Linked DNA regions of Oreochromis niloticus. The protein of the gene in region 1 binds, or shares a complex with, the protein of each later gene. Links are inferred from orthologs where the notes say so. Each region holds a gene or a part of one and is shown on either strand. Other genes may lie near its edges. The genes, in order: prkaa2 and prkab1a.

Region 1 (16,149 bases):
ACGGGCTAGTCAAACCCTGCCAGCAAAAAGATCCCAACAACACAACACATCTCCAGAACCCCTCCTTGTACGGGTCAAGGGTTCAGGTTTTTCCCCCTAATCTGTCACCTGTCTCCAGGTTAAATTTGAACATGGCCCAACAGGGAGTTATACACTGCGGACACTACTGAGACCTTTATCCTTCTTTACTCTCCAAGACACTAAGCTCTAAACACAAAGCTCGTTTAATTGGATGAGCCTCTCTCTGCCTACCAGGGTCTCTGCCAAACATTAAACGTCAGACACTCTGTGTTGTGCTGACCTTCCCTTTATCTTTTATCCCTGGTCCCTTAACACTCCCTTGCTCTGCTTGCCAGTATTTTTGCTCTCAGCCAAAACACTTCTCCTGCTGTACTCCACTGCCACCCCCCCCCCCCCCCCCCCCCCCTCTTGATTCCTTCCCTATCAGATGACACTGGGCCTCAAGGCTTCCTGCCAGACTTGATATGAAACCTTGCCGTTGCTAAGGGATGTCTCTCCACCCCACACGCCCTGCTGCGCATAAGGGCCCTTGTGTGTTTTTGAAAATATTTCTCTCTTCCATGTTCATATTACATCAGCAATTTTGACTTAAATTACAAAAATTAAGGCCTTAACTGATAAGAGGCATTCTCAAGTGACATATTCCTTATCATTTAATAAAGCTAAAAGGTGCACAATTAGAGTTCACATTTTTCTTCAAGTTAACAAAGTTACTGCATGTGTTGAATCATAAACAGCTGTCACTTGGCTTTATTTAAACTATGTAATTTTATTCTGTCACCCTAAACAAACCTCAGTATTTTATGTGTCCTCTTACCATGAATTTGCAAAAGAATTCTATTGTCGAGCCTGTTTTCTTACCAAAGTCTGCTATCTTTGCATTCTTATTGGCATCCAATAGGACATTCTCAGGTTTGAGGTCTCTGTGGACCACCATGTGCCGGTGACAGTAGTCTACAGCTGAGATAATCTGCTGGAAGAGGCGGCGTGCTTCAGTGTCCTCCACCTGAAAGACACAAAATGAATAGACATGACTGATCTGAGTGATGATGCTCCCTCTGATCTACAAGTGTGCAACTGGGTCAGCCTGTCACAGGACCCAACTTTAAAAACATTTCTAGCAGATTTTGTTGAGTCAGTGCAAAAAAAGCACTAACATTTAGAGTTATTATGGAAAACATTCATTTACTGATTTATTACAAATGGAAAACATTTCAGACTGGGTTTTCTACGCAGGTAATTAAATTTAAGATCAATAATCATTAGCCCATTTATCTCTTTTAAGTGCCATTAATGACCCGAGAGAATAGCTGGCTTCGTGGATGCTAATGGTAAAAAGCTAGTGATTTTAAATACTCTGGTTTTCTAAACTGTAGAACGCTGCCTACGGACTAGTTGAAAATGGGCTTCAACACAAAAGGTAGTGACAACAGAGTTCATGAAGAGAGAGAGGGGGAGAAGCACAAAAAAGAACAAAAGATTAAAAAACAGTGGACAGTGGACAGTTTCATTGCTTTTAACACTAGTTTCACTTGACTATAATCAGTGACTTTGGCTCGCTCTCCTTGGCAGAAGCAGGACTAAAGGACCAACAATAGCACAAACATGTACAAGAGTAGGAGTAGTGCATATTGTGGATGTTTCTGACCCTGGCGACATAAACAGGTAAGACATGCAACGTTCTGCAAAGGTGTGTGTAGGCGCTGTGTGGGACTAATGCATAACCATGCAGTCCATTAAGAGTCACACTACTTAAATTTCAAAAGGTGAAGTTTATAAACATAATAGAAAACTATGAATGGCTTTACTAGACTTTCCTAGGGCAGCTTTTCGTGACTCACAGTTCAAAATAAACCTTATTTATGTCATACTAGGCCTGTGGAACCTATCAGTTAATATGATGTCTGAGCCATCTTTACGCTCATTTTAAACCAACTTTCTTCTGATTGGTTGCCCCTCGTGAACAGAAAATCTAAGAAATGTTTTTTATGCTCACAGGTAGAGCTTTGTGCTCTAGAGATATTTGCTTTCATTGACACCACACAGAGCTAAGGGCAGAAAAAACTGCCTGAAATTAAATGTTTAGACAAATCTAAAGCATGAAACTTTGGCTCATAGGAATTACTTTCACATAAACTGACTTCATCTAAGTTTTTGAAAGTTTGCCCATGTTTAACACGAGCATCCACTATTATAATGTAATATGATGTAATGTATACATGACAAAACAAGGAGAGACGTTGTAAGTCGCACTTGAAAACAGAAGCACATGTTTAGGAACATAGTTTAAATGTGCATTTTAAGTTAATTAAAATATAGATACCTACTCAAAATGACAGTAGTAAGAAGCTTATATTTAAAGCTAAAGCAAGACCATATAGTTTATAATATATATAATGTGAAGGATGTGGATTTAAATAATGTGAAAAACTACAGTCAACACAAAGTTAAGTATAAATACACTCAGCTATTTTTAAGAGCAAGTCTACCTGGATTACTGCACAAGCCCAGGAAACAAACCATCATCAGATTTTTGCTTGATATGTTTATCAAATATATGCAACAATTGCTTTTAAACTGTCAGAACTGTTTAACCAGTCAGGCTTCTGTTTAGTCAGCTAACCATGCCACTGGATAATAAAAGAATTTCGGATGATTCATTGACCACTGTACTCAGCCAGGCTGAAATCTACCAGCAAGATAATAGAAGAATGTCATCTTACCCGTCCATTCTTGCAGATGTAATCAAACAGCTCGCCTCCCGACACATACTCCATGACCATGAAAAAATCTGTCGGTGTGCTTATGACCTGGTACCTGACAACAACAACAAAAAACCCCAAACTGTTGTATTTCAATGAACTTTTAATACATTCATTAGTTGATTTCACCTTCTATCTTCTATTTTCACCTTTTATTCTCAAAAATTAAAAGTGTGATCACTTAGACATGTCCCTTTTTTAGGTAGATTAATTTTTAATGGAAATAACATTAAAATAATTAAAACTCTTTTTCCTGACAAAGTCAGTAATGAAATCATTAATTAAAAATTACATGTTTTTAATTGAATCGCTAGAGAGGCGTATAGCCACCTCTGTCCAGTTTTTTGAGTATATCAGGAAAAGATTATGATGGGCAAAAGACATTAGCAGAAGGATATATGGCTTTTTCTTTGCAACTCTGCCTACAAGGGAGGCCCCGGGAGCTGCTTCTTCACTGCTGATCCCAGAAATAGTATTTTGTGGTTACCAATTAGCGAAGCTGCCAGTTTAGGACCCATGAGGTGTCTGTTTCTGAAAATAGAGTGTCTGATGCATTTGTTTCCTTGCTCTGTGTTGCAGGCCTCTCATTCCTCTTTCTATTCAGGTTCAGGTTTTTGTGGTTTTATGTAGGGGGTAGGACACACCTTTCTATGGCATCTTCAGTTTTCACAATTTCCCACAAGGAATAGCTTTCATTTCCCTATTAAGATGGCTTTCAAAATAAAAGTCACTTTTAATTCTCGAGCAGGCAAGAGTTGATGTTCCAGTAACTCAGCTAACCAAATGAATTGTTTCTTTAATCAACACAGCAGTTATCAGATGTGCTATCATATTTGGAGAGGTTTCTTCTCATGATCATTTCTGTAACTTGTGCAACAGGACACAGGAGTGATTGTTGCTATTAAAAATCATCAGTCAGTCATATTTGTCATTCATGACATTTCTGATTAATTTACTGGAAATAAGAACAAATGTGCTTTTCTTTCAAAACAAGGACACAGATGAGTGAACCCGAATGTCTAAACCTATATCGTCTACATAAACAATACACAGCATTAGCACACAGAAACAAAGGCACGGCAAGGCTGTGATATTGGGTTGCTTTCATAAAGGTCAGGTATGTTAAATTGCAGGCACAATTTCATGAATGGTTGCCGGTGGTAGAATATAAACTTTATCACAATCTATTTCAATCCTGTCAAGCTGGGTGAAGCCTAACACCACAGGGACTATGGGAGGAGAAACATTAAGACAAATAACTTCTTTTCTTCTAACAGTTGAGAGTGTGGCAGCTTTTATAGTCATGGTCGGTATGTTAAACTGCTTCCATGTCTGTACAAGAAGTGTACACAGTGTGCATGTGTTTATTATTGTATATGTCTCTGACACTGACTTCCACAGCACTCCAGCTTATGACCTGACAACTCGCATATCTGCCATTGCTTAGAGTTTTACAGTGGACTAACCCTAACCCTAGACTAAAAATATCACAAACAATGTTGAGAGGGACGGACAGACATGGACTAACAAGGTGAAAGAGGCCAGGGAGATAGAAGGAAAGAGAAAGAAGGACAACAAAGACACGGAAAGACCCATGAGGAGAGAGGGATTTAGACAATATCCACCATCTTAACTGGAGATTTGTCCTAGCCAGAGCACATTTCTTTATCTAGCTCAAAGCTTGTGTGCGTGCATTGGTATGTTTGTGTGTTTTACCTCCTGTGAGCCTTGTGGGCATGCTCAGTAGAGTACAGCTCTAGAAAACACGTGAACAAGCAAAGCATGCCACAACACACAGCAAAGAACCCACGTTACAACAAGCAATAATAAAAGAGAGCCCAGTTATCTCTCTGCAAAGCCTGTCAGTCTTCACTGAGAGTCTTCAATCTGACAGACGGATGTGTCGTCTTTCTCCACTTACAGCTTGATGATGTGTGGGTGTCTGAACAGCTTAAGATTCTGGATCTCTCGTTTGATCTTCCCCACAACATCGAGACTACGGATCTTCTGTCTGTTCAGGATCTTCACAGCCACTTTATGGCCTGTCAACTGATGCTCACCAACTAAAAACAACAGAATGCAGACATGAAAGAGACAGACCACAGAGGCTAAAAAAATTAATAAAAAATAAATAAATCACATAACCTACTACATAAGCAGCTTGGTGTGGATTAAAAGGGTTACACTTTGATTTGGAGTCCTGTTGCGTAGGAAGCTCGCACGAAGTAGTGAATGAACTGTGTTTGTTATATTGAGCTTTTGCTCTCTTTTGTAACCCCTATTTTCTTTCCATGCGTTTGTTTATAGTGTTGGAGCTATCTGCCTGCTGGAGGCTCTGAAACCAAGCTGTTATTGCAGCTGCCAAACACTGCACACGAAACTCAGAATCAGATACGAACTGGGGCATGAACTGCTCCACAACTAACACACAAGCAGTAACCTGAAACGAGCAAGCATTACATATACACATACAGTCATTTTGTATTCATTCACACATGACTTGACACAGATTTTCACACTCCTAGTGGTTTGGGAGTGTGAGCAAAATCATTTTCCTTAATAATGATGTTCAGAAATAGCCATGGTTTCAAATGCTTTAGCAGCACACACAAGAAACAGGCGGGGTGAGCATGGAGTTAAAGCTCACAAGGTCATGCTGAGTGTCAGAGAACTAGCGAAGGCAACCCTAATAATAATCTGTTATATGCATCCTTTTGAAGCTTTAAGATTGTCTAGGGTTTGCCCGACTTGACAAGCACTTAACAAGCTACCACCGGCTAGCAGAGAATAACACATCGGACTAGCTTGCAAACATTAATGTCAGTTCAACGTTAGGTTCCCACGGTGGGTCAAACGGTGAGCTTCAGACGTCCTTTGTCGCCAGACAGGGCAAAGGACAGCCACCACCGCACAGTCCTTATTACTTAACGTTATACCATAATAATGCGAGTGTGACTGTGCATCTCCGTGCATCCAGGTTTTATCACCTCCCATAGCTGATAACAGCAGCTACTGAAGGGGGCTTCGGTGAAAGAATTTGACTTTGAAGCGGTCGGATTCTCAGACTACAGTACGTTTAAAATCCAGTCTGTTGCCGTGGTTAAACCGCTCAGCTACGCCAACTGCTTCACTGACCACCAGCAAGTTGAACGCGGAGCGTTAAAGAGATGGGAGGGGAGGGGGGCACAGCGACTACTTGACATTAACTACTCCAACTGAAGACACAAACGTACACATGAAGCCTGGCATGACACAGAAACAGGACTTAACTCTTCACTTTGCCGAATGTCCCCACTCCGAGCGTGTCGCCGAGGATGTAATGGCCGATCTTTACCCTGCCTTCGTGTTTCTGTTGTTGCCTCTCTGCCATCTTCTCCGTTACCGACGGCTTGGATCGCTCGGGGAGGTGGGAGCACTGCCTGCCTGGCCTGTGCAGCGCACGGGGGCGGGGAGGAGGGGGCGGGGCACTTCACAGTGAAGAATCACCAACGGCGGAAAACGCGCGCACGCACGCGAATTATCCCTCCAAGAACCAGGCGCGCTCTCCCACCTACCTTGCACGGAGCGACCGACGGGGTGTTATGTTGAGTTTAGTAGCCCAGTCAAATACCAACCCTCACGGTCTAAACACAGTAACACCTGTCTGCTACATGGGTGTGTAAGGTATGTAACGTTTGCGTATAGACCGTTATTAAACCAGTCCTGCAATAAATATAGACTATCAATATTTATAAAATCGTATATATATTTAATTTCTTAAATTTCGTGAGTGATTATTAGTATGGGTATCTGTTGTTTTAAGTAAATTGATTTTTTTTTCTTCATTATTCATAAATGCACTCTGGTGCAGTAACACAAGCGTCATTATTTCTGTTGTCAAGAATCTTACAGACTGCAATAAAAGACCAGTACTTGCATATTATGCACAAAACTGACCCTGGAAGATCCCGTACATTATTGCCTTAATTCAAGTAAGGGACTGAAAAGTAACGCTACCCAGTCTTTACATTTACATATCTAACGCTGGTGTGTGCATATCGTCGTTTCACAAATTACGTATTAGATTTTAATAACCTGGTTAAAGAAAATAGGTAGCCATGACAATTTTAGAAAACTTAAAAAAGAAAGAAAGAAAGAAAAAAGGACAAAGTTGAGCTGTTCGGATTTCACCACTAGATGGCAGTATACGCATGATTCATCAATACCTGGTATGAGTTTCGGATTTCGTTCTGCTGCTATGTTCTGCGTATGTTCAATACGCAACAAGCAAGCAATGTTTGTTTATATAGCCATTTCCCCGGACAAAAACCACATCGAAAGGAATCTAGGACAAAACAACAATGTGAAAAAAGAGGAAACGGGAATACGATGAAAATACACAAAATAACACAAGGCTCGAGCTTCTCAAATTGGACAACAAATAGTGTTCGCTCACCAACATATTATATTACATTATGTTATATTATAAGTTTTTTTTTAAATTAAACATATAAAAAATCGTCTGGAAACAAAAATTTCCTGAAGTTAAAAAAGATTAAAATCACGAATTACACACTTCCCGACTTTGTCTCTGTACTGGACAAATATATATAAAGTTTCGACACATTTTGCACATGAAAAACAAATATCAATCTTTTAATTAACAATTGAACTTTAATTGTTACAATATTATATATTTTTTTATCTTTTAAAATAAATTCTTTGTCGAAAATTACAACAACAAAAAAAACTCTAGCACTATATACTGGAACATATTCTCTTTATTTTGTCTGTCCAAGAACAAAGATTTTTAATAGTCTCAACTCAAAAGCGCTTCGGTTGTTTCGCGCCTGTTACCGTGAGTAACCGCTAGGAGTAGTTTTTCCGTCTGTCCACTGCTGGGCTCCACTCTTCCAAGTTTTTCAAGCAGGGATGGAGACGAGAGGAGGAGGGCTGCTGTAGGAACTAAGAGAGCGGGGGGAGGAGGAGGAGAAGAAGGATTGATATAACAAGAGCGGCTGTCGATGCGCAACGCAAGTCTCACTCCAAGTCTTTGAAACAAGACAGATAAAGAGGAGCGGGCTTTCCATTCAGTACCAGTGCAGGCAAATTTTTTTTAAACTAAGTTCGTGCCGCGGGTCCGTTCTCCATTTAGCCGACTACTCATCTGACTTTTAATTATTTTGTAAAAGTGAAATACGAGAGAGCGAGTCATAAACAGATCAGACACTCCGAGAGAGCTGCGAGTTGGGAAGTTTGTTTCCCGTTGCTTTGCATGACATTTCTTCCAAGGACTTGAGAGCCTGACAGAGTTTCTTCACAGACCGTGCAGTGTGGGATTTTGAACTGAAACGGGGACTCATCAAATGCAAAATTACATGTATGAGAAAGCAATGGCTCAAGAGACAAGGAACGGAGGAACCTCTACGTTAAATAACAACAATGGTGTTGACAACAGTAAGAAGAAGGTGCTAATAGTGCTCGATGTCTTCTGCCTTCTACTTGGTAAGTTCACAGATACGTTTACACGATGCTTTCCTCTCTGTTACCATTTAAACTGCGTATCTCACATCAGCTGTTGTAGAGTACATGCACAAAAAACTGAAGACAGAAACTTCTGCACATTGCACTCACAATAAAAGCCCTCTTTAGAATAGATAAACAGTGCCCGCCTTTTCTCAAGTTTGCCAATAAGAGTATTATCATTTTAAAAGTTGCCCGTTATCTGTAACTGCAAAACAACTTAAGCTGCAACATCCCCTTATCATCCAGTTCCAACGCAACACCCCCGGGCAGTGGAAGTGGCGAACAAAAAAATAAAATAAAAAAATCAAACAACATTTCAGGAGTTCGCACTTTTAATTTTCTTTAATTCAACCCAGAATCACAATCAGTTTGTAAACTGAGAAAAAGAGAAAACTGTTGTTGTTATCAAGACAGCTGACTGACTTCTCATCGGAGAGAACTGTCACCAGATAATATACTGATCATTTCAAAGTCCATGGAGTGTCACTGTAACTGATCAGTTGGTCCTAGTGCTCCTTGTCAACATGCCCGGGGCATAAATATTTTCAAGTGTTCGAACCTGCCCTTAAAAATAACCAGACAACACCCACCACTTCCCCCAGTCTGTTCTCTGATAACCATGATCATCTGACCCCAAATCAGATGAACATGTTATTCAGTGGGTTATTCAGTGGGCATCCCATGCAGATTCAGTGTGCTGCCTTTGTGTATGTGTGTCTGTGTGTGTGTGTTGCTTTGCTGGTTTGTTTTTGGCTGTTGTCACTGTAGCCCAGTCCTTTTAGTGTTGAGTGCCAGTGCCCCCCCCCCTCCTTCTTTTCACACTATTTTCATTCCCCCCATCTCCCCTTTCTCTTTTTTGGAAAAGGATTATGGGAGTTCTGCTTAACTTCTACACATTCACTCCCAGAATCTTGCCAATCCCTGGCCAGCTGCCCCTGATCTCTTCACTTCAAATTACTTTCTTTCTTTCTTTCTGGCTCTCTTTCTCCCTCTCTGTCCAGGGGAATGCGTGGAATAATTGCTTAAGCATGTGTTGTGGTAGGGGAATGCCTCTCCAATTTGAGTGAGGGATCGAAAAGTGGGACCAGTGGCTGACCGGGCTTTAGAGGAGCAGGTGGGAGACACACCAATAGTGCAATATAAAGGAACTAGTAAAGTACCAATGAAGTATGCAACACTACCACACAGGAACTGGATTGTATCATCCAGTATGTTACAAATGGTGCACATTAACTCCACATAAGTGCTGTGAGGTAGAAGCAAAGCTCGCTGACAAAGTTTTCCATTGGGTTTATACTAGTTTTCTTATTAAAGAACCCCAGACAGAGATACACTGTTTCATCTGCGTTCATATAACTGTAGATGAGCTTTGATCACATGTGGACTGAATTTCCTGCACAAACCAACTTCCTTTATTGGTTAAAGCTCTACAGACAGTTCTCCATTGCCTTGTTAGGACACCCACACACACTCACAGACACGCATGTATGCCTGTAAACTCACACAATGTATGTAAGAACACAGTAACAAATGGTTACAAAGATTCTCCTTTGTTATGCTAAACACAATCTGGCTGCTCAGTGATGATTGGTTGGCCCACTTCAGTGGTTTGGGGGGAGTTGCGGGTTGGTGCGAGGGGTGACTGGGGAGGGGGTTAAAAGAGAGGGAGAAGAGATCAGTAGAAAGGGAGGGTTATCAGGGCATCCTGAATGAGGAAGGAGGAATGCGGGTGTGTTGTCGAAGAGCTCAGCGGAATGCTTAATGGTTGGTGGCTTTTGTTCTGAGCGTGTTTATGGCTAAAAAGTAGTGTACACTACTAAAACTAGGAAATAGATAAATATCTCATTACCTTTAATTAGTTCCTATTCTGCCAGCTGGGCTCTACACGCAGAGTCTCTGCAGTTACATCTTCCTAACGGATGTTAATGTGCCCAACTGACACACCCTTAGGCGCAGATAATGAGTGTCTGCATAAAAGACATCTGAGGCCATCTATAGCTGCACACAAGGACAAAAGAAAACATGTTTACATGTTTAATGAAGAACCCATCCCAGTTGGTTTTGCTAAACAAAAATGATAATGCACAAGCACAGCAAGATTAGAAAGGCATTGAAAAAGCATACTCACATTCTCTCCAGCACTCAACTACCAAGACCGGGGTTACGGCATACAGTTTTGGCAGCTGAGCGCGACCATCATCTGCTGATTTCACTCTGGATCAGGTTCCACTCCTACAGAGCAGTCGAGTTGATTTAGCAACGCTATAAGGAGCGTGCACACAAACAGTATACACTCACTATAAATACACAAACTCGACCGCAGAATTTCGTATTCCCTTTTGGCGACTCACTGCCCAATAGTCTTCTCTTGGCTGTTTGAAAAAAAAAAAATGTTTATTGTGAGAACACTGCAACGAGACACAGACTAGAGCCCTCTGGAACCCAAGCATCCAAAAGTAGTCTCACTTAAACCATGATTAAGTTTTACACAATGCAAAGGGGATTATACATTATGTGTTTGCTTCTGCAGAACTGGTTTGGGATGGAGTGGTCTTTTTGTAAAACATAAACATGGATTGTCCGGGACTGGCTTCATTGACTCTATATATGCTTCTTTTAAAGGATCATGATCTATCTCCTTATTATGATCTAGGAGGCAAAAAAATATATAATGTTTTAAAACATTTAATTATGTGTTTATTGCAAAATTTGGAGCTCTGATACAGTCAGGTGTTCAGTGGTCTGCTTTTCCACAAATCACAGACAGGTAGCCAAGAAGAGCGTAACCTTTTGGCCTCGAGGAATCAGCTTCATAACTGGCCCCGGAGCGTTAATCCTTCTGTATTCGACTCCTGCGTTCCCATCAGCTGCTATAACATTACAGCAGTCAGTCACACAGCCTCTCATTAAAGTCAGAGAGGTTTAACCTCCACCTCTCCAGGCCTCAGCCACTTCAATCCTGAGCCGCTCTACAAATATTTTCGAGAATTTCACAAATTCTTCATCTGGCTGTACCTCTGTGCCCAAAGACTCTGGATGGGACATCTGGTGCAATTTTGGGAGTAAGTGAACCAGGGGGCATATAGAGTGTGTGTGTATATTGGAGCTCAGGAAAGGGTGGGAAACGGAAAGGTAGTGTCGGTCGGAGGTGGGTGTGGTTGTGAAATGAAATCCTGACTCTTTTTTTTTTCTCCTAGTCCATTTCCACATCTATCTCCATTCCTTCCCCCTGTTCCTTCTCTACCGGAGCCAGTCTTCTGTCTTCATAATTGTCCCAGAATAATAAGGGAAAAATCTATAATGAACAAAATAATATTAGAAGAATATAGATATGCATAGATTATACAGTCTGTGTCTGTTAGAAAACTATATTGAAGCAGCATGTGAATCCATCAAAGAGAAACTGAAACACAGGCTCCAATCCAAAGATGCTGACCTTAATCCAAGGGTAAATATTCTCAGGGATTCTGCACAAGTCTTTCAGAGGTGAGAGCCATGAACATGTTCTTTGAAATATATTTGGCTGGGATTTATTGGGATCTGTTTAAACATTAGGTGAAAGGTCAGAAAGAAAATAGACTCACATATGATCAATGTCTGCAATGCTCTCTGTGTGACATTAGTTACACTCATGTGTCAACCACAGCAGACGCTTAATAGACATGCACAGAAGAATATGTCTCAGGATTCAGTTTTGACAGTGATCAGATTGAGTGTTTATTGTGAGAACACTTTGCACATCACAACACAACATAGCTTGATTACTCGACTATACTTTTGCCGTTATGATATCTAAATGTTATCTGTGGCCAGCCTGTGATGAGTGTTTATGTTGGCGGCTTCGGGACAAGGTGAGGTTATGGCTCTTAAGAAGGTGATGAGTGTCCTCTGGCAGAGGATAAAGATCAGCAGATGTCCCTGATAACAGAAGCCATAGGGATACTATCTCTCCTAGATAAGATGCTAATATAATTGCACATTTTTGAGAAGATCTATGTTTTTTTTCGTGCGTGTTGAGATGAAGAGCACCGGTTGCATCAATGCCAGACAGGTCTGCAGCATTTCCCGACTGTCATTGTGACATGCGGCTGGTTTCTGCTGGTGCAAGAGTTAACCACCAAACCCCTGGGGTATGTGCCTTAGCAGGGCTGTGATTAGAGGTGCGTGGGTGTGAGCGTGTGCATGTGTGTCCTTTGGGATTCGGGAGTAAGAGAGAGAGCACCCAGAGCTGTCATTAAATGGACCATATAGCCTGAAGGGTGAAGCATTCTGTATTCACTCTGTGGGTAGCATGTGTGAGGCATGTGTGGCTCGATTTATAGACATGTGTCCCATGTGGCTCCCGTGGGCAAGCTGAAGGCATAAGCTTGACCAATTTGCCTGTAGCTGTTCACACTGCTATACAAACCAGACACATTCATCTCCTTTACCTTTTTTTTATACTGTCGCCATCCTGGCACACAGATTGCACAATAAAACAAAGACACCAGCTTGTAGTTTACGCTTTGACAACAATAGTGTAGTAATGCCTCTCATTCTCATGTCTCATCTATGATTATATCCCTCTCATATAAACACTTTTCAAACTGCTTATTTAAGTCATTTTGGATTACTGGGCAGGACCTTACAATAAGCTTTTGTTAGCAGTCAATTTTGCATGTGTTTAAACTTGTGTTTTAGCTTTCACCAAGAAATGTAAATGTATATTTCACAGAATTCTGCATGTGGGCAACAAACATCTGTTTGCCTATTATACCCATGAAAATATTAACTCTTAGACTTTCTACTTTTTCCACAGTTACTTTTTTGATTTAACCCAGTGTTTTTCTATTAATCAACATGTGATGAACAACAATGGCACTAGCCCTTTAATGTAAATTAGAGCGCAAGCGGCAGATGATCTGAAGTTATGGGCCTCATTAAATCTCTTTCCCCCCCACACTATCCTTTCTTGGGCTTGCTTCCTGCTGTTACACAGGCCCCTCTGTCTGTCACTTTCTCTTACTGCATATACAGTCTTCTGTATTTGTGTGTGTGTGTGTGCTGTGTGCATCCAGGGATGGGGGTTTGGGGGTCAGGGGGATTTCTCTGTTTCGGAGAGAACAATACCCCTTTTGATGCATCTCAGCGCTCTTTGTTTCGTTAACAGGGACCAACAGACCAGTGGCAGACAGAAGGAGGATGAAATAGAAGGGAGGGGTAATAAGTGAATGAGGGAGAGATGAGAGGGTGTAAGAAGCTTCTTACTGGATACTCAAGGTCGCTTGATTATCTATCAGTGGTTTATGGCTGTTGCTGCTTCTAGCTGTATTGTTGACTGGATTGTGGGCTGTAGTGCTTATCTGCTCAGAGCTGTGTAGTAATCAGCTCAGCATCTTTAATGGCACAGGCCTTATCTAAGCTGCAGCCACTGAGCTCTATCCTGTTTACATACAGAGAAGCCCCCTGGCTGAAGAGGATCCATGTAACACTAGAAAACATCATGCTTTACATTTGTACTGTAGCAGCAGTTTAACATCTTGTGTACACAGTTATAAAAAATGGTCTGGGGTATATGCTGAAGTGAGCTGGAATGAGAAGACAGTCTTGCGTTAAGTTCAGGGGAGCATTACCCAGAGATGAAAGCATCAGGTTTCAGAGAATCCATAGCCCTCCTCTCCACAGCCAGGCTTTTGTCCCAAGGGGTAATAATGCCATTATGGCAATCGTTGAGAAACGCCTAGCCAGCCATCTAACCAACCAGCCAGATAACGTGATCTGGCCCCTGGACGCTGCTCATGTTTCTCTTCATTGGAGCAGCTGTGCATTTGTCTTTTTTACTGAGAGTGCAGCCAAGCATTAAATAAGTCTCCATAACTTTTAACTGATCTTTTTAAAACAAATTATGAATATCCTCTTGCCTTCCCTAGTTTCTGATGTGGACCAAAGGTGAATTTCTCTTCATCTCTTCAAATGCACTTATAAGCCAAAAGCAACACAGGGCCAGCAGCAGCACTCAGAAGTTGCCCACACAGGTGCCTGCTGGTAAAAGACCCTAGAGTGTGTCCCAACAGATGCCTGTGTGTAAAAAGGCATTTATTCCTGTGAATAAAATCTCTCTGAGTAAGCACATGCTTCAGCCAGCGGCCCCCCGGTAGCTACAGCATTCACACAGGGGGGGAAAAAGGGATTCACTCTGTGCACCACTCTGCTGACCTCAGCCACTCCTGTGTATCTATGTGTGCGTCTGTGTTTGTGTAATTGTGAGCTTTGTACATGTGTGAGACACATCAGCAACCTGTGGAAACAAAGAAACTAATATCTCGAGCCAAACATCTGTATCAGTGCATGTTTTTGCACGCGTTTATAAATGTATGTTTCCTAAACAGTGATTATGTGTATGGTAAAAGCATGGGTGGTTTATATGGAGCCAAGTTTGTTTATTTGGATTACGAGGACATTTTTAAAGCCCTTTGTGGTCGACAGCTTAAAATTGTTTCAGAAAGAAGTTGGCTGAAGTCGCCAGTGAAACCACAGTAATCCACTTTCACACCCACATAGCCACACACACAACCGCACACTCTCAAAGATACAATACGCAGCGTCACAGTGACATTTGGATCCTGTAGGCTATAGTATAATCCTAGAGTTATGCCACATCCCTCACCTATGACCCTTTGCTCTTCCGGGATCTGTCTTGAATGTATGCACACTATCTCTAAATATGTGGAAAGCCTCACATACTCTTGCTCATGGCTTTAGTGACCTTAAGATAGGACTAACTGGGTGGGCTTGCCTAACTGTATAGTGTTTGATGTGTGACAAATTTCAAAACATCCAAGGCATCTGCTTGGCATGCCATTTTTAAAACCTCAGGGGTGACAGTATAAATGATAATGAATATGTGTCCTCTGTAAACACTTAGCTTAAGATTGAGACTGGAATTACTATCCATCCATCCATCCATTCGCTTCCGCTTATCCTTTCCAGGGTCGCGGGGGGCGCTGGAGCCTATCCCAGCTGTCATAGGGCGAGAGGCGGGGTACACCCTGGACAGGTCGCCAGTCTGTCGCAGGGCCAACACACAGGGACAGACAACCATTCACGCTCACATTCACTCACACATTCACACCTAGTGACAATTTGGATTATCCAATTAACCTATCCCCTCAAACTGCATGTCTTTGGACGGTGGGAGGAAGCCGGAGTGCCCGGAGGGAACCCACGCAAACACGGGGAGAACATGCAAACTCCACACAGAAAGACCCCGGCCTGATGGTGGAATTGAACTCAGGACCTTCTTGCTGTGTGGAATTACTAATAAATAAATTAATAGAAACAGTTAAAAATACACTATGTACCACTGTTTTAATAGAAAATGTGCCTGTGTGTGTTACAAACACAGTCTCACTACTGACACACAAAACACACGATTCCCATTTAGAGTGCACATGCACACTCTGTAATCGAAATGTCACTTGCAGCTGGATGAGAGCATTCATTCATCAACAATACCGGACTAAAGGACGCTCATAAAGAAAGACACTCCTTCTCAGTCACACACATATCAAATAACCACAAGATAATATCTCTCCATACTTCTCTTTAGCAATGTAGGGCACTTTAAAACTTCATTTTACAAATGCAGATTATGTTGTTTGGTATTTACAAATCAGAATTATAAAAGTATTAAGAGTTTCTTCAATAGCCTGAAAAATATGAATGCTTTGACATGTCCACACGGGCAAAGATCATGTTGTTTATAGTTTTTTAAAAAGTTCCACTTAGTTTAACAGAAAAGAAAACATTTTAACCTGTTTTCTCTCAAAATGTCACATATTGCTTACATTGTCCAACATTTGTTATCACAGTATCCACTGTA
Region 2 (15,905 bases), on another chromosome or scaffold:
AGGCCCTGAACTGAGGCAGGGGCCTCAGTTCAGCTCCAACCCTGGACCCCTTGGTGTCCCCATGCACTCTTCCCACCTTCCTGTCTGAAAAATCTCCACTGTTCTATCAAATAAAGGCAAAAATGTCCCAGGAAAAAATGTCTTGAAAGGACCATTATCAGCTGGGCATAGCAGCATTGAGAAAATACTACTGTGCAGTTCATGGTCATACAAAGTAAAGTACATACAGTAGGACTGATCAAAAACTATAGATCTTATGGCCACTATAGTGAGGTGCCAGGATGACTCCTATTGTGGTGTGGTGTATTATTTCATGGCATTAATTTGCAGTTACAAAGATGTACAACTGCTGACTCTTTCTGTATAGAAATAAAAAAAAAAAACAAAAAAAACTGCAACACTATCAGCAAACGCGATTAATTTAATTTGTTCAACAATCAAACATTAGTTGTTGTTGTTTTTTTTTTTTTGTTTTTTTTTAACTAAACTTTCTTTTTTTTTTTACACAGGCCAGTGACCTGGGCAGACTTTCTGAGGGAGAGTGGCATCTATATTTTGGCTGCACGGCCTAATAGTTCTGCCATGCACATCAGACTGCCTCTATAGTCCTGGATCCGCTACTGCACTCAGCAGAGGGAGTGAGAGACGGAGGATGTACCCCTATAGTCTACAGTTGAGTGAGGGAGGATAGACATGCTTATACAATGACATGAGGATGGCAAGTGAGAGAACTGGATGAAGCAATGAGGTAGCAGATCAAGCCAGTGACAGAATCTCTCCTCCTCTGCATCACCTCAACACCACAACACTGACAATGCACGCTGACTGACACACCACAGACGCAAGTGACAGCAGCTGTCACAGGTCCCCACTCCAAAACCTGACAGCTTCCAACAAATGTGAAAGCTAGAACAAGTAAGACAACCCACTCACAACCTAATCAGCTGGTGATATTTCTGAAACTTGAAATGATCACGCACAGTCAGATGAGCACCTAGGATGATCACATGAGCCAACCTAGACTCTACAGTTCTACAGCTCCATAAGACACCTGGGTGGGCACATTAGGGTGTTGGGCTTCTACTCTTTCATGTGTTCTTTCCTTTGGGCCCCAAAATGTCCTAATTATAACGCCACGCAACTGAAATGGGATTGTGTTATGCACCATTAAAACTGTTAATCGCGCCACACAGAACATGCAAATTAATTTCTGGTAGTGTTTGATTTGTGGGAGGAGATTAACCACGCAGCTACATTAACGGAACATATACCAAACAACATTGAAAGCTATCTGCATACATTATAAGAGAACTGCTATACATACCAGTATAAATTATCATGCATTAAAAAGATGTATTTATTCCTGTATTCTCTGATGTATCCTGTTTTCTCCATTTCACCCAAGAATCCGTGTTCAAGAAAATGCTAACTGTGAAAGGGGATGTTAAAGCTAACCCTGTAAGTGACATGTATATACTGCCATATAGTGCATTTTGGTATTATTGTCTCAGAGCTGCACTATAACAAGGTGTAAAATGCCACTCCTCGTATTCTAATGTCATTATTTGCACTGTGGGAATGAGATGTAGTTGGACTATTGACATAATCACTGTACTGAAAGACTGAGATCTGCTGGAAATGTTTGTCCTTTGCTAATATGCAGAAGCACTCTTTAAAAACTGCTATGGAAAACAAGATGAAATTATATAATGTAACAGATTACACGATAATTTTAAGGCACGTGAACCTGCCCCTGAATCACTAGAAATCTACTGTAATGAATAGGACATCATGTAGTGTTTATGCCATGTAATGGAGGTTTTATGCTGGGTTCTTTTGAAGTAAATAAAGTATGGTAATTAAATCAAATTGTGTGGTTTGAGGGATAATGTGTTGTAGTGCTGAAATGCTTGCATAGTATTTACCATATTGAGACTCTTTGTTTTCAAAGTATCAGCAAATATAATTAAAACTTTACAGATTTAGGGGTTTTTTTTTTTGTTTTTTTTTTTTCATTTTAAAACTCAAACGATATTAAATGGAATGGGGATAAGACTCAAATCAAAGATCAAATATTAATTGGAAAATTAATAAAAATAAACCTAAAATAAAACTGACCATGTCTGATAGGAAGGTTACAGTAACCGGTGGTATACTGATGAGCATCAATGAATGCACAACATATCAAACCTTGACACAGACTAACTACAGCAACAGAAGACCACACTGGTGCCACTCCTGTCAGCTAACAACTGGAAACTGGCTACAATTTGCACAGTCTCGCTTAAACTGGACAATAGAATATTGGAAAAGATGTCACTTTTGAGTCTTGATTTCTGTTGCCACATTTGGATGGAAGAATTCTTGGTATAAAAACATGAAACCAGGGATTTGTTCTGCCTTTCATCAATTGTTCAGGATGCTTCTGGTAGTGTAATGGAGTGGGGTATTCTTTAAGCGCACATTGTGCCCCTTAATACCAACTGAGTATTGTTTAAAGCAGGGGTAGGCAACTCCAGGCCTCGAGTGCTGGTTTTAAGATATCACTCTTTGTCAACACATCTCAATCAAATGATTAGTTCATTAACAGGCCTCTGGAGAACTTCAAGACATGTTGGGGAGGTAATTTAGCCATTTGAATCAGCTGTGTTGGATCAAGGACACATCTAAAACCTGCAGGACGCCGCCACTCGAGGCCTGGAGTTGCCTACCCCTGGTTTAAAGAATACTGCCTGCCTGTCCCTTTATAACAGTCTACCCTTCTTCTGATGGACATTTCTAGCAGGATAACAAGCCATATTACAAAGGTCTATTCATCTCAGACTTGGTTTCTTGAAAATGACTGAGTTTATTGTACTCAAATGGCCTCCAGTTACCAGATCTCAATCCAATCCTTACCCAGAAGGAACACAGACCTCAACCACACAATGTACAAACTGTCTTGGCTAAACACTACAAAAATGTGAACTTTCTGACCAGAGGCAAAAACTAAAAATCTGGACCAAATTTACACAAACATTAAAGAAGCATAGAAGGCTTTGCCCTCTGTCTGTTGGATCACATTTCACTGGCAGTGACTCCATAATATAGAACTCTAATCTGTAGAATCAGATCAGCTGTTAAAACTGTTCAGGTCTGGAGTGAGGAGATCGCTTCACTACTGCAGAACTGTTTTGAAAGTGCAGCTTGAAACAGCATCAGGAAATGAGTATAAACTCTATGACAAGCCTATTTCTCATTTTGAAATGGCCCTTTACTGGCACTGTTAAACACACCACATGCAAATCAAACTCAAAATTCTGTATTCTTCATAAGCCTCCAAATCATCCAAGGATTATCTAAAAAGGGGAAAAACTACTACTGCTACTACTTTACCAATGTTGTACTTATGTTTGATTTGGAACTGGTAGCTTTGTCATTCTTTTAGTATAATGTAATGTGTGATGTGACTTCTGGGATTTATCTGAAACCAGACATTTAATGACACAATGTTTGATCAACTCTTAGGGCCAGTGTAACTTATGCTAGCTTGTTGCATTTGCTAAAACAAAACAAAACAAACAAATCTGCATGCATCTGACAGCATCCATTGCTGTTGGTGAGAAATGAGACTGCTTTTGTTTACTTCTGTGTGAAATTGAATAGCCATTGTTGTGCAACGGTAGAATGAAAAGCTTGACAAGCGTAACATAGCAATAGAGTAGCACTGAATTTACACTTGTTTAAAATTCACTTATCAGACTCTGTTTGATTGCCTCATGCACTCTTTTTCCAAGCAGCTGGAGCAGACAGCACGACGGGATAGAATTGCTGCAACATCAACAAAGCTATGACTGCGAAGATTACACATTTCATGGAGTATAAAGAGGCTTTCCTTGAAAACCTCAACCATAAAATCTCAATATACAGCATGGAGGTCAAGAAGGTAGAACATTCAGAAGTGGCCCTTCGTGGAGCAGTTTGAAATGAAGTGTTGCCTTTAAGTGTATGACCACTGGAACTTTCACCTACACACAATTAAAATTAAAACAACACTCTCTCATACCTACAAGAGGTTATACCATCTTTGTGCTAAGCGACTTTCCATATATTGATTGAAAAGAGAGTACAATTTGCCTCAGAAAGTAAAGGTGGTAAAAATAGAGAAGGGAAAATGTACAGTAAAATAGTTGTCAGACCCTATAGCTAAGATAAGATGGCCTTTATTAGTCCCACAGGTGGGAAATTTGTTAAAACTAAGAAAAACAACCAGAACTAGCACAAAACGGTAGAACATGGTTGCAGAGTCTAATTACTAATACGTTAGTTATAAAAATTACTAGAAGAAAAAAGATAAGAAGGAAAGAAACTCAGAATGAGCAGAGCTGCTGTAACAGGCTGCCGCACACGGGGGGCGCCGGAAGTAGCTCCCCTGTTGCCCTCAGGCTTTTTACTTTTATCTGTTAGTAATGGAACAGAGTCCAGCAGTTATATCTACCCAGATGTTAAACTGAAGGTCAGACTAACTGTTCAAACTAACTGTAGGTGACAAACACACAAGCAGTAGAAAGAGAGAAAAGGCAAAATGGAGGGAGAGAGAGCGAGCGTGGGAGTGAAATCATTTGGATGAGGATGTTATGTAATTGTTTCATAACAGATTCAATGATGATCTTCTTGACCAGGCTAATTGCTACATTAAATGCTGAGTCAAATGTGAAACTTGAGCTCTGAATTAATTCAAGGTTATCCCGCCCAAATAGCCTCACAAATTAACGTGCTAATGAGAAAGACTGTTTGAAGCCCTCTTGTGCGGACTTTGCATCATTTGGGATATTCAGCTTATGACTAAGTACTTTTTTTTTCTGCTGAAACAAAGGCTCCGAAAAATTAAGATTGTTGAAAAGTTGTTTGAAAAGAGCTGAAAGCAAAGCAAAAATTCTGACTTCACTTTCTTTAAAGCATGAAACAGCAACTCTAAGCAGTGAATGGTATAAAAATATCTATTTCTCCTTTAATCAGTGTCATATTGGGCAGAAGCAGAAGAAGCATAAATAAATTAAAGTGTGCATTGTAGTGGTCTGCCCTGCTGCCTGTTCAGGGACTATCTTGCTTTTCACCCATTGTCAGTCAAGTTAAACTATTCTTAGACCAAAACAGATGATGACAGGATGCATGGCCAATTTACCAATCAATTAATCCAAGAATGTAAAACATGCAAACTAAGCTATTACATCTTAAAATCCAAACTGTTCTGTTTTATAGGGGGATGACTATTTTTCTATTTTCCATTTTTGTTATAGTTTCAATCAATAAAAATAACCAGTAATCCAATTCTGTCTACAGTAGATAAACCATGGCATGTTCCTAAGTGCATTATGAAAAAAAAAGTCAGTGAATTACATGTGAAGGGCTCTGTTGTCATAAACATGGAAACTATCGTCACTTCCAAATTTTGCTTCCATAAATAAATAAATACATTTTGATGGTGCATTAATTTGTTCCTAACTGCCTCCAGCAACTGCACAGTTGACTTTTGTTTGATTTCAGTGTCCCCAGTAACCTCTGTACTGTATTTATGATCTGTTTTTTTTAAAAGTACATCTTCAACAGAAAACAAATAATGTTGTTGTAACAGAGCTCTACCTTTCAGTTAATGATAGTGAGATGATATGGCATCATGTTTGAATGTTAGCACTTTAATAAAAGTAGTCTTTGCTTACTAGTCCATAAGTGTGCCAAATCGGTGTTATGCACAGATGTGAGCCTGTAAGAGTATCAAAGAAACAACCGTTTTTTGGGGTTTTTTTTCTTTTGAGTCTCTCCATGTGTGATCCAGAGGAGCTCTGTACAAAGGTTATCTGGCGTGTCCTACAGGGAGTGTAACAGGGCCAGCTGCTGGCAGAGGTGCTGTGATGCGGATGGCTGCTGTTGTGTGATGGCTTCACTCAGCAGGGATGAGTAATGGTAAACAAGTGTGGCAGTGCGGTCATAGCTCTGGGGAAGCAGAGCCAGAGGAGAGCTGCAGTAAAATGTCAGCGCACAGTTTCTTCATGGAGTTCACAGACTGGTTTGAGTGCCAGTGCAGGATTTCTAAATAGGCAGTGAGTTCCAGTTTGGCAACTATTAGGTTTAATTTTTCTGGTGGTAATGAGTGTCAGTGGCAATGCCTTATCGTAGAGTTTGATTTGAAGGTCATCTGCATACGTGGGAATACAGACACAAGACACTCCAGTCTCACTGAAAAACAAGACCTCAGTGGGGATACTTGCCAACTCCTTTTCAACACATCAAAATCCATACCATCCAACTCTATTTCTCCAATGCCATTTTTAGATCATCCTCCGCATGTAAGCAAATAATTCACATCCCACTTCCACCAGCACAGCCAACTTTTTCCTTGGAGCCAACTCAGTCTTTGCAACTGACACGAGCCAATTACAGTCGTCTGGTTCCAGGAAGTACAGCCATTGCTCTTTTTTCATTTTTCTTTTCTTTTTTTCCTCTTGAGCTAATTTGATTCAATGTTGAAGTACTCAGTAAAAGTGTTGCATTTGTCCACTGCACAAAAATATGCATTTAAAATTTTGGCTCATGCTTTTTTTTTGTTTTGTTTCGGCATCTCTAAAAAATAAAGCTGAGGAAAAACCAACAAAAGCTGGCTATAACAAGGCATAAGCTGTGAAGGGAAAAATTAAATCTCTGTAATTGAACACCCCATGTGGATCGACATCTGTGTGATGCAGTCAAGTGTGGCTGGCCATGGATGTAATTTGGGGCTGTGCCTGCTGTAACATACACAGATAACAGGGCCTTGTGAAAATGTAAATTCTTCTCTTTTAAAACGGTCCAGTGAAATCCCACCTCCCCTCAGCTCAAACATCTCTACTGGACATTAAAAAAAAACCAGAGCCTTAGCTGCTCATTATGTGCCAAAAGGCTGCACAGCTTTCTCTGCCTCCTGTGTCTCGAAGATGCTGTTGTGCCATTGGGGGGTGGACATCGTTAACTCTTTTAAATCTCTGTCAAACTTTAAGAAAAATGAGAGTTGATAAAGTTAGGGAATGTTGGTGAGGGGACAAACAAACATCAAAGGATTTTTTTAAGCTTTTGCTGCAGTTTTGTGTGACTGCTAACAGGAGATACTGTAACAGAAATGTACCCCATGAGGTGCAATAACAACAGACAGGGAGCGAACACTAATAGCAAAAAGCACTGCATTTGCTGTTAAATGTTCCACTTGTATTGCAGAAGTAACAGAACATAAAAATGTGTAGTTAATAAAAATGATGACAATCCATTTGCTGTGTTACAAGTAGCAACACAGTGTGCTGTTACTGTATGACTTATAATAAATGCATTTTACTAAAGCTAAATCTGAATACTTTTTGATGTTATTAATTGCACCTTCTCTTTCCCTGCTTTTTCTTTTATTACCAGGCACACAGACGCCACAGTACTGCTCAGGGTGCTTGCCACCACAGCAGCCTAATGAGTTTTCACACTGTCCAACAGTTAGGTCGGGCTGCCTTACAAGGACTGGTGATTTGCTGCTTCGTCTCTATCTCTTTATCTCTACAGGGTGTTGATATTTTAATCATCACAGAAGCATGGCTTTGAATTCAAACAATTATTTAGGTGACCGTATTAGGCATTCTCACAGCTGGATCTGATTCCACATATTACATTTGTGAAATGTGTTAAAGGCAATTATACCAAGGAACAAATTCATAATAAATATCAGGGATAGGATAAAGCTACTGTGTTTTTGTTATACCAGCAGTCTAATTTTTGCCCAAAGCACTGTCACTGGCTGCAAGACATCATTAGCCTAACTGGTGGTATGAAACACAATGTATAAGCATATCATATTTAGACCTACTACAATATTCTATCAGTATCTGCATCTATATTTATGTAGACCATGGATTGGAGATTATGACACTGACAAAAAGACAGGAGGCAAAGCTGGAGTTGGCAGGGTTGAAGACGATAAGATTTTCATTTGGAATGACCAGAATGGAAAGGATTAGAAATGAGTACACCTCAGGAGTAGTCTGTGTTTGGATCTGTGCACAGGAGGGATATGAGGATATAATAGGCAAATGATGTTAAATATGCACCTGACAAGCCAGCGGAAAAGAGGAAGACCACAGAGAAGATTCATGGATTTAGTGAAGGTGACTATGCAGAGGGTTGTTGTATCAAAGGATGCCAGAGATAGGTCAAGTTGGAGGCAGGTAGTCTGCGGATCATCAAAGCTGAAAAAAGTGTTTTTCTATGGATTTGAAGGATTGCTATGTGCATTTTAAATATTACAAATGTTGCACAAGGATGGCAGCAAACTGCATTAAAGAAAAAAAAAAGTCTCATCCTTCTATTGGCTCATTAAACACAACTCTATATCCATTGTACTGACCCACATTGCAGGCTACTTGACTCACTCTTCCATCTAGTGTTGAGTACGTGACATTACGTCTGTCATTATAGAGAATTACATTATAAAAGGTTATAATAGTCGAACATTAAACCAAAAGATTTATTATGGATAAGAGCAGTTTATGAGACAATAAACGACGGTAGTAGTGATGGGTAATATTTTGCTTTTCACGAGGTCAGGGTGCATTAATATTTTGCATTTTGATGATGTGCGCATGCGCAACAGGGGCCGGGTTCTGCTAGAAGGATCAAATGTTTTTGTTTTCGTGTGGGATGGAAGGTAGCTGACAGGTCGATATCGATATCTACGACGGCAAACGTTTCTCAGGTAAACAAAACAACCCTGCGTTTCTTGTCGGTGTTTGCGTTCATTAGTTGGTGTCACCTTTTAAGTCGAAGCAGGTAGCAGGTTTGGGCTACATATGCTAGTAGGTTACCCAATGTTAGCTTTAGTAACGGTGTATTTCATAGCTTCTTTGGTAGATATCTCTTATAGCCTGGTGTTTATTTGTTATAATTTAGAGTATGAGGCCACAGGAAGTGGGAATGGAGCTTAGACGTTAAGATGAGCTAACATAACCGCAGGCATGTCACAGCCTTTGATGCTAGTATGTAAACACAGTGTTGATAAGAGAAAAACACGCTGCGCATACATGTACACACCTGTTTGACATCGTTTCCATAAATATCATCATATAACCAAAAATAGCCAAGTTATTCTAAGGAAACTGAAATGAGAAGGTTTTCATGTTGCACGGTACTAGAGTATTCCAGTAACACTCCCATTCAGTGGTATTTCCAAATACAGTTTCATACTTTTCCTAAAGTAAAGTAAACTGGCAGATATCATAACAGTAAATCAGTAAAACATCATTTGACTTTAAAACCTCCAGTGTCACTTGTGGGAGTGTTTCAGGTAGAGTTTTATTTCATTGTATAACATTATGAGGTCAATAATAAGTAATCCATTACTGTAAATATGGTTTCTGCTGTTCTTTTAAAAAGGTTGTCTTACCTTTACTTGTGTGTACTGATACAGCAGGAAGTGCAGATTCCATGATATTGTTCTATAAGTAAAAGAACAACAAAGTGTGTTCAGAGTGTTGGCTAGAAAATTGTTTTTTATTCTGTAATTGTATTTTTATATTGTAAATAACTGAGTGTAAGCTAAAAATGTAAGGAACAGCATTATATTTATAGGCCTATAAATGAACTGCAGTAATGTAAATGTATTCTAGAGACAATGGTATACTCAATCAAATACACTGATCCTTTAGGAATTAGGTATCATGCTGAAATACGTGTTTTATTAGGATCACATTTAAACTAACATTACAAGACAGTTGAACTTTGATAATGCAAGTGTTCAGGTGGGACACTGAAACATATACAAGATATCTGGTATTAATGTCTCAGGGATTGTTTTGGAGTCAATAAAGGAACTCCTAGTTGTTCAGTATGATACACTGAGAAATGGAAAAGTTGTAGTCTGCCCACATGATTCAGCTTGTTCTACTGCAGAAGTCACTATAAATAATGTTGGTACCTAAAAATGTCTGTTTTGAGATTTGCAGGCCTAAAAAGCAACATTTTTAACAGTAAGCCTTTAGCAGTTATAAATAAATCTGTAAGGTGTTATGTAGTCTCTTCTGAGTTTACGGCTTTCTTTACACAGCTGAATCAACTCTACTTGCAGTGACCTTGTAACAGCCCGCAAGAAGACAAAGCCATGGGGAATACAAGCAGTGAGAGGGCTGCAATGGGCCACGGGGAGAAGGCTCAGCGGAGGGACAGCCGAGGTATTAAAGAGGGCGAGAGGCCAAAAATCCTCATGGATAGCCCGGAGGATGCTGATATTTTTCACGGAGAGGACATAAAGGTAAATTGCGCTGCTCTCTCAGAGGCGCATATCAGGTAGAATTTATAGCCTTCTTGGCCCTGTAGATTTCTTCAAACTCTAATCCTTGTTGATAAACAATAGTCTTGTGTATGATATGCATTTCAGGCACCTTTAGAGAAAGAGGAGTTCCTTGCTTGGCAGCAAGACTTAGAATCAGATGACAAAGCACCAACTCTGGAACGACCGACAGTCTTTCGCTGGAAAGGAGATGGAAAGGAGGTCTACCTCTCTGGATCCTTCAACAACTGGGCCAACAAAATTCCCCTTATTAGAAGGTGAGAGCATGTTATAAATCTGAACATGTTTTTCAGGTAGACCTTGAATTTCTGGCTGTTTATCTTTTGAGATTTAAACTAGAGTTTTAACAGATTTCTTTTACAATATTTCTATTTGCATATGAGAAAGGTTTAGTAGAACTAGCCAAGGAGGCAAATCTATATATTATAGGTACATGTGATTTCTTCTTCTTTTTTAAATGGCTGGTTTAAATTACCTGTGTGCCAAATGTTTTCTTTTGTTTTGTTTGTGATCTATCAAAGTCAGAACACCTTTGTGGCAATTGTCGATCTACCTGAGGGGGAGCATCAGTACAAATTTTACGTGGATGGCCAGTGGACCCACGACCCAGCTGAGGTAAGCGGTTACTCTCGCAGTCATTTATAAGCGTATTTTACTTTTCTTACCTAGACCTCAACACAAAATCTGCAGCAGTTTCAGTTTTTAAAGGGATTGCAGCTCTGCCATTCCTGTAAAGTCTGGGTAGACAAAAGCATATATTCACTGATGCAGTATTATTATCATTGCATTATGAGTAATAACTTGTGGGTGTATTAAGGCCACTAGTGTAGGTTAAGATGAGCTGGCTTCATGACTGACTGCAGGCACTTATCTGAGTCACCTTATCTGATGTCATGCTTTAACAATAAACATCTTTTTTTCTCTCTTCAGAAATATAGTAACAAGTGTATAAAATATGTTAGCACACACATATGGTAAACAGGACAAATGGTGCAGTGGAGGGGCGTGACTAGAGGTAGAGTAGTCATGAGTGGACATTAGTTTAAGAGGCTCAAGTGGTTTGTTTCACATCATGATGCTTGTTAAAGCAAACAGTGGCCTGCTATTATATAAATTATGTCTTTCTGGTCTATACTTTTGAGCTTTATTTGTGAGTTTTATTGTCTCCTGTTTCCTAACAGCCTGTTGTAACCAGTCAGCTAGGCACAGTCAACAATATCATTCAGGTAAAGAAGACTGACTTTGAGGTTTTTGATGCGCTAATGGTGGATTCGCAGAAATGCTCTGACATGTCAGGTGAGTGCCGACAGCCACTTTTAATCTGTGCTTTTTTTACATTTACTGATCCAGACTACATGTATGGAAAGCAGGGGTATAAAGTGTTCAAAAAGAATCTTCATTCATTTTAAAGACCAACATTTTTGTTCCTGCCTTTTTTAATGGATGTCAACATTGCTGTTAAAATCTATAGGTTTGAAAATAATTTAATGTTCTTGTCATACTGTTCCCCCTTTTTTTCCCCCCTCAGACCTTTCTAGCTCTCCTCCTGGGCCATATCATCAGGATGCTTATGTCCCTAAACAGGAAGAGAAGTTCAAATCTCCACCCATTCTTCCACCTCACCTTCTACAGGTCATCCTTAACAAAGACACTGGGATTTCTGTAAGTAGCTGTAATCTGAGATGAATTTGGCTTATTCCCACTTTCCCCTGCCCCCTAAAAATAGAATAGAATAGCCCTTTATTGTCATTGTACACGTACAACAAAATTGTGAAAAAATGCATCCACAAGAATAAATAATACAGATCATTTATTTGAAATGTTGTTATTTTGTTTGTCATTGTTTCAGTGTGACCCTGCACTGCTCCCAGAACCCAACCATGTCATGCTCAACCACCTCTATGCACTTTCCATTAAGGTAAGGTTTCAGGGTGACTTTTAAGATTTTTGTGTTTGATGTTTTTCGGCAGCGTGTGGGAGAACTTGATCAGCTTTGTAAGCATTTTAACAGAAAGTATGCGCTGCTGCTGCTGCTTCTGCTTTTAGCAAGCTTGCATGTTGTTGGCACAGCAGATTGAATCTATGCAATGCCAAAAAGGCTGATAAATGGGACAGAAGAACAGATGAAGGACAGATAATTCTCCTTTCACAGGAAAAACAAACTTGCATTTCAAGATAGCCACAGCAAATGTCTGCATGTAAAAAAAGGAGTGGAAAACAAAACAAACTATGTGTATTTTCCATTTCAGGTAGCGGGTGGTCAGATATTCACTTTTTTCCATTTGGTTTCACCTGTAATGTAGTTAAGTAGTTGTACATGGAGCAGATAAAATGCTAAATACAGAGCTTAAACACATTTTTGAATGACTTTATGTAGGCTGTGCGATATGACCAAAATCTCATATCCCGATATTAAGACATCTATCGTCCGATAACGATATAAATCACAAAAATGTAACATTTTCTGTAAATTCTGTGAATGTCGGGCAGCTCGACTTGCGTGAAGTGTTTCCAGCTGGGCGTCGCGTACCTGGAGTCGAGTGTTTTAACTGATGCATGAAACGATACATTTTTAGACATAAGTTGTAACAGCCGCCGTTTTCTTTGTGAGTATTTATCACACAGCGTGCTGCGGGGAAAAGCCTGTTCGAACGTTTGAGTCTAAGGTTTATTTTTTAGCATCTGACGGCTCTTTTTTGCTTCTCATCCGTAAATACTCTGCATCTTTCACGTGATTCAGTTTATTTTGAAAAGTCTCAACAGGATCTTGAGCTTTATTGTGAAAGGTTTATGTGGAAAATAAACAAGCAGACATGCGGTGGTTTTACCGTCGTTGTTGCTAACGACAACGCATAAAAACAAGCGCTTCTCCGTCTGTAGTGTGGTTATATTAAACATAAGAGAAAGAGAGAACTTTAGGAAATTAATATAGCCACTACAGTGACCATCAAAATAATGAAAAAATATTGCCGTAAACAGTTTATTTTGCGACACCACGAAACAAACGATAGCGTAAAATGAAACGATAGACGTTTTTATATCGTCATCCGATATATATCGTTATATCGAACAGCCCTAACTTTATGTTCACCAATTTGACCTGTGAGAAAAACTTTCATTTTGGGGACAATCTGAAAGGCTCTATTTAAACTTAATCTTAATGACTGTTGATACATTAGTAATGCTGCTAAGTGACAATCTTGAATATGCATCACATTATTTCATTATGTCTTATGTCTGGTTGAGTAATCTGATTAAAAAATACTTCTGCTCAGACGGTTCAATTCTAGAAATTGCAGTGCTTTTAATAGCTTAAAACTTAACAACTAACAAATAAACCCTTTCATTGTATTCATGCTATATTGAAATCAGATGCAACAATAAATAGTCATAAGTACAGCAATGTCAAACAAAAATAAGGCATAATATAAAATAGCCTTTCCTCGGTCTTCTAGGAAGTCTTTGTTACGTTAGGAGGCAAAAAAAAGTTCTGACAGTATTGTTTCTCCTGGATGATGTAGTGTGTTTATGTGTGTGTTTTGTGCACCTCCATGTGTGTCTGTGTGTTTAAATGTGCTAGTGAATGAGTTACTGTGTGTGTCTGTAACCTTTAAAGGAGCATGTGGTGGCTGCAATGAAGAAAAGTGAGCATATCACCATTCTCAGAACTGAGGGTTGCTGCCACGTTTCCTACTGCACAAACAGACACTCTGATGGTGTAGATGTTAATAATTAATGTTAATAGTTAATGTTTAGGATAATTCAGTGTCCAGCCTAACAGTCCCAGGTCAGTGACTCAGAGTGTTACTGGCCGGTGGAAAGAAAAAAGGAAAAAAAGCAAGCTTTTATTTTTATAAATTTCTTTTAAATATATATTTACTATATACATCTGACAAATTGTTGTCAGAAGAGGTGATTTGATGAAGGAGTCCCACCATGGGCACCCATTCAAGTTTGTGAATGTGATAACTCGAGAAGAAGGTGACGCATCACCTTCAAATTGATACCATAAGTGTATTTATTAAAAGTCTCGGACGAGTTCGAATCTTATTGACGTCAACTTAAAGGTCAGAGGTCATGTTTTCTGAAAGTCCTGTTAATACGAGAAACTTCAGAACAAGGTGACGTAGGATTTTGAAATCAATACCATAGATCTGTCTACCAGGAGGCTGGTGGTTGCCAGTATTTTCTTTGTCTTTATGTACATTTATATGAGAGTCTGAACAGACTTGGGTGTGAACTGCAATTTGACTGGTAGGGGGAGGCATGCAACCATGATGCTGCAATTCTGGTTTCATGTGTGTCCTAAAAAAGCCACAGCCTTACCGATTGCAGCTTAACCATACTGGCTTATAGCATGGTGGAACTGTACATGGTAAGACTGATGCTACTGTTTCCATACTAGTTGAAAGCATGCATTGTGTGAGGTTTTAAGATGACTTCTCCTCTGTGTTGTATCTTTCTGTCACAGGACGGAGTGATGGTACTCAGTGCAACACATCGCTATAAGAAGAAATACGTCACCACCTTGCTTTATAAGCCCATCTGATGAAGCATTCTTTTCTATATTTGGAGCTGTTGTTAACTGTACACTGAGTGTACAAAATGTTAGCTACACATTTTTTTTTCCCCAAAAATCCAGTATATATTCCTTCCAGGTTTCACCAGTTAGATCCATTCTGACCAAAAGAAGCAGCCCTGAATAAGCCGAGGGAACAAATTAAGTTTGTAAAATGTTGACTTGATTTCCAGAAAAAATTTGGACTGAGGGTTATAGTAATTGCTTTACAGTAATGCACTAAAAGCAATACATACAAATAACAAATGATTCAGTTGGACAGCCACTTACTGGAAAACAGACAGAAAAGAGTTATTTTAAAGGAAGCCTGCTGTAAAAGGTAGTTTAAGTGATGATGATGCTTTTCCCATGCAGTACATCACATCCGATTTTTGTGTCATATATCAGCACAACTAACTAATAGCTGGATTGGATTGGTGGGTAAATGAGGTCACTGTGTTCACTTCAGTTCTGTGTTACTGTGTTTACTATAGGAATATTTAATATGTAACATAGACTATAGTAATTATATAGCACATCGTGGTTTTTGGGCACCTGTTTTGAAGCCTGAAGTTGGGTACTTCAAGTATTATTTCTTTCTTTTTTTTCTTTTCTTTTTTTTTAACTGGCAAACGAGTGGTGGTTGTGACACTTAGTCGTTACATACACAACAGTGCCCTTACAGTACCCTGCTTTTTCCCTAGTTTTACCCTGAATGCGAAAGTGAACATAATTTAGTATTACATAAGATGATTGAAAGCATAAACTCATTAGTAAAGTGTGTACGGTGGTCATAAGTCAATAGAAAAGTAGGGTTATTTTACTAATAGACTTCCATAAAATCTGACTTTTTTTTGCAATGAGTGGGCTTTTCCCCTGCTGGAAAGATTACAGGTTTAAAGCACTACTGCTTTTAATATACAGTCTTTGGCCAGCAACACCCACTAGCTTCATTTTAATAGCAAGAACTAACAAAGCATGCAGGGAGCCAGGAGTAAAGGGTAAGTGGAGGGA

What was found.
Region 2: the proteins of prkaa2 (region 1) and prkab1a are in contact, whole or in part, in a crystal structure (PDB 8BIK), measured with the Homo sapiens proteins. The link is inferred for Oreochromis niloticus from reciprocal best matches to the Homo sapiens genes PRKAA2 and PRKAB1. Residues at the interface, in NP_006243.2 of Homo sapiens: Gly9, Val11, Lys12, Ile13, Thr21, Lys29, Lys31, Asn48, Arg49, Arg53, Asp56, Val58, Ile61, Lys62, Ile65, Gln66, Lys69, Val82, Ile83, Ser84, Thr85, Pro86, Thr87, Asp88, Phe89, Phe90, Met134, Met164, Ser165, Asp166; in NP_006244.2 of Homo sapiens: Pro79, Thr80, Val81, Arg83, Thr106, Ser108, Asn111, Val113, Ile115, Gln154, Val155, Asp159, Phe160, Glu161, Val162, Phe163, Ala165, Leu166, Asp169, Ser170, Lys172, Cys173, Pro186, Tyr187, His188, Gln189, Glu190, Pro191, Tyr192, Ala202.

The regions. Positions count from the first base shown.
Region 1 is NC_031986.2:38,370,584-38,386,732, reverse strand, and holds the start of prkaa2 (5'-AMP-activated protein kinase catalytic subunit alpha-2), read right to left. Parts: upstream 6,228-16,149; 5' UTR 6,154-6,227; coding exon 6,054-6,153; intron 4,847-6,053; coding exon 4,705-4,846; intron 2,839-4,704; coding exon 2,745-2,838; intron 1,028-2,744; coding exon 883-1,027; intron 1-882. Other genes in the region: plpp3 (phospholipid phosphatase 3), read left to right, coding at 8,129-8,267. UniProt on the Homo sapiens protein: Catalytic subunit of AMP-activated protein kinase (AMPK), an energy sensor protein kinase that plays a key role in regulating cellular energy metabolism.
Region 2 is NC_031972.2:28,444,412-28,460,316, forward strand, and holds the start of prkab1a (5'-AMP-activated protein kinase subunit beta-1a), read left to right. Parts: upstream 1-8,614; 5' UTR 8,615-8,743; intron 8,744-10,090; 5' UTR 10,091-10,144; coding exon 10,145-10,294; intron 10,295-10,420; coding exon 10,421-10,590; intron 10,591-10,854; coding exon 10,855-10,948; intron 10,949-11,514; coding exon 11,515-11,629; intron 11,630-11,861; coding exon 11,862-11,995; intron 11,996-12,182; coding exon 12,183-12,251; intron 12,252-14,804; coding exon 14,805-14,882; 3' UTR 14,883-15,905. Other genes in the region: phf24 (PHD finger protein 24), read left to right, coding at 510-606. UniProt on the Homo sapiens protein: Non-catalytic subunit of AMP-activated protein kinase (AMPK), an energy sensor protein kinase that plays a key role in regulating cellular energy metabolism.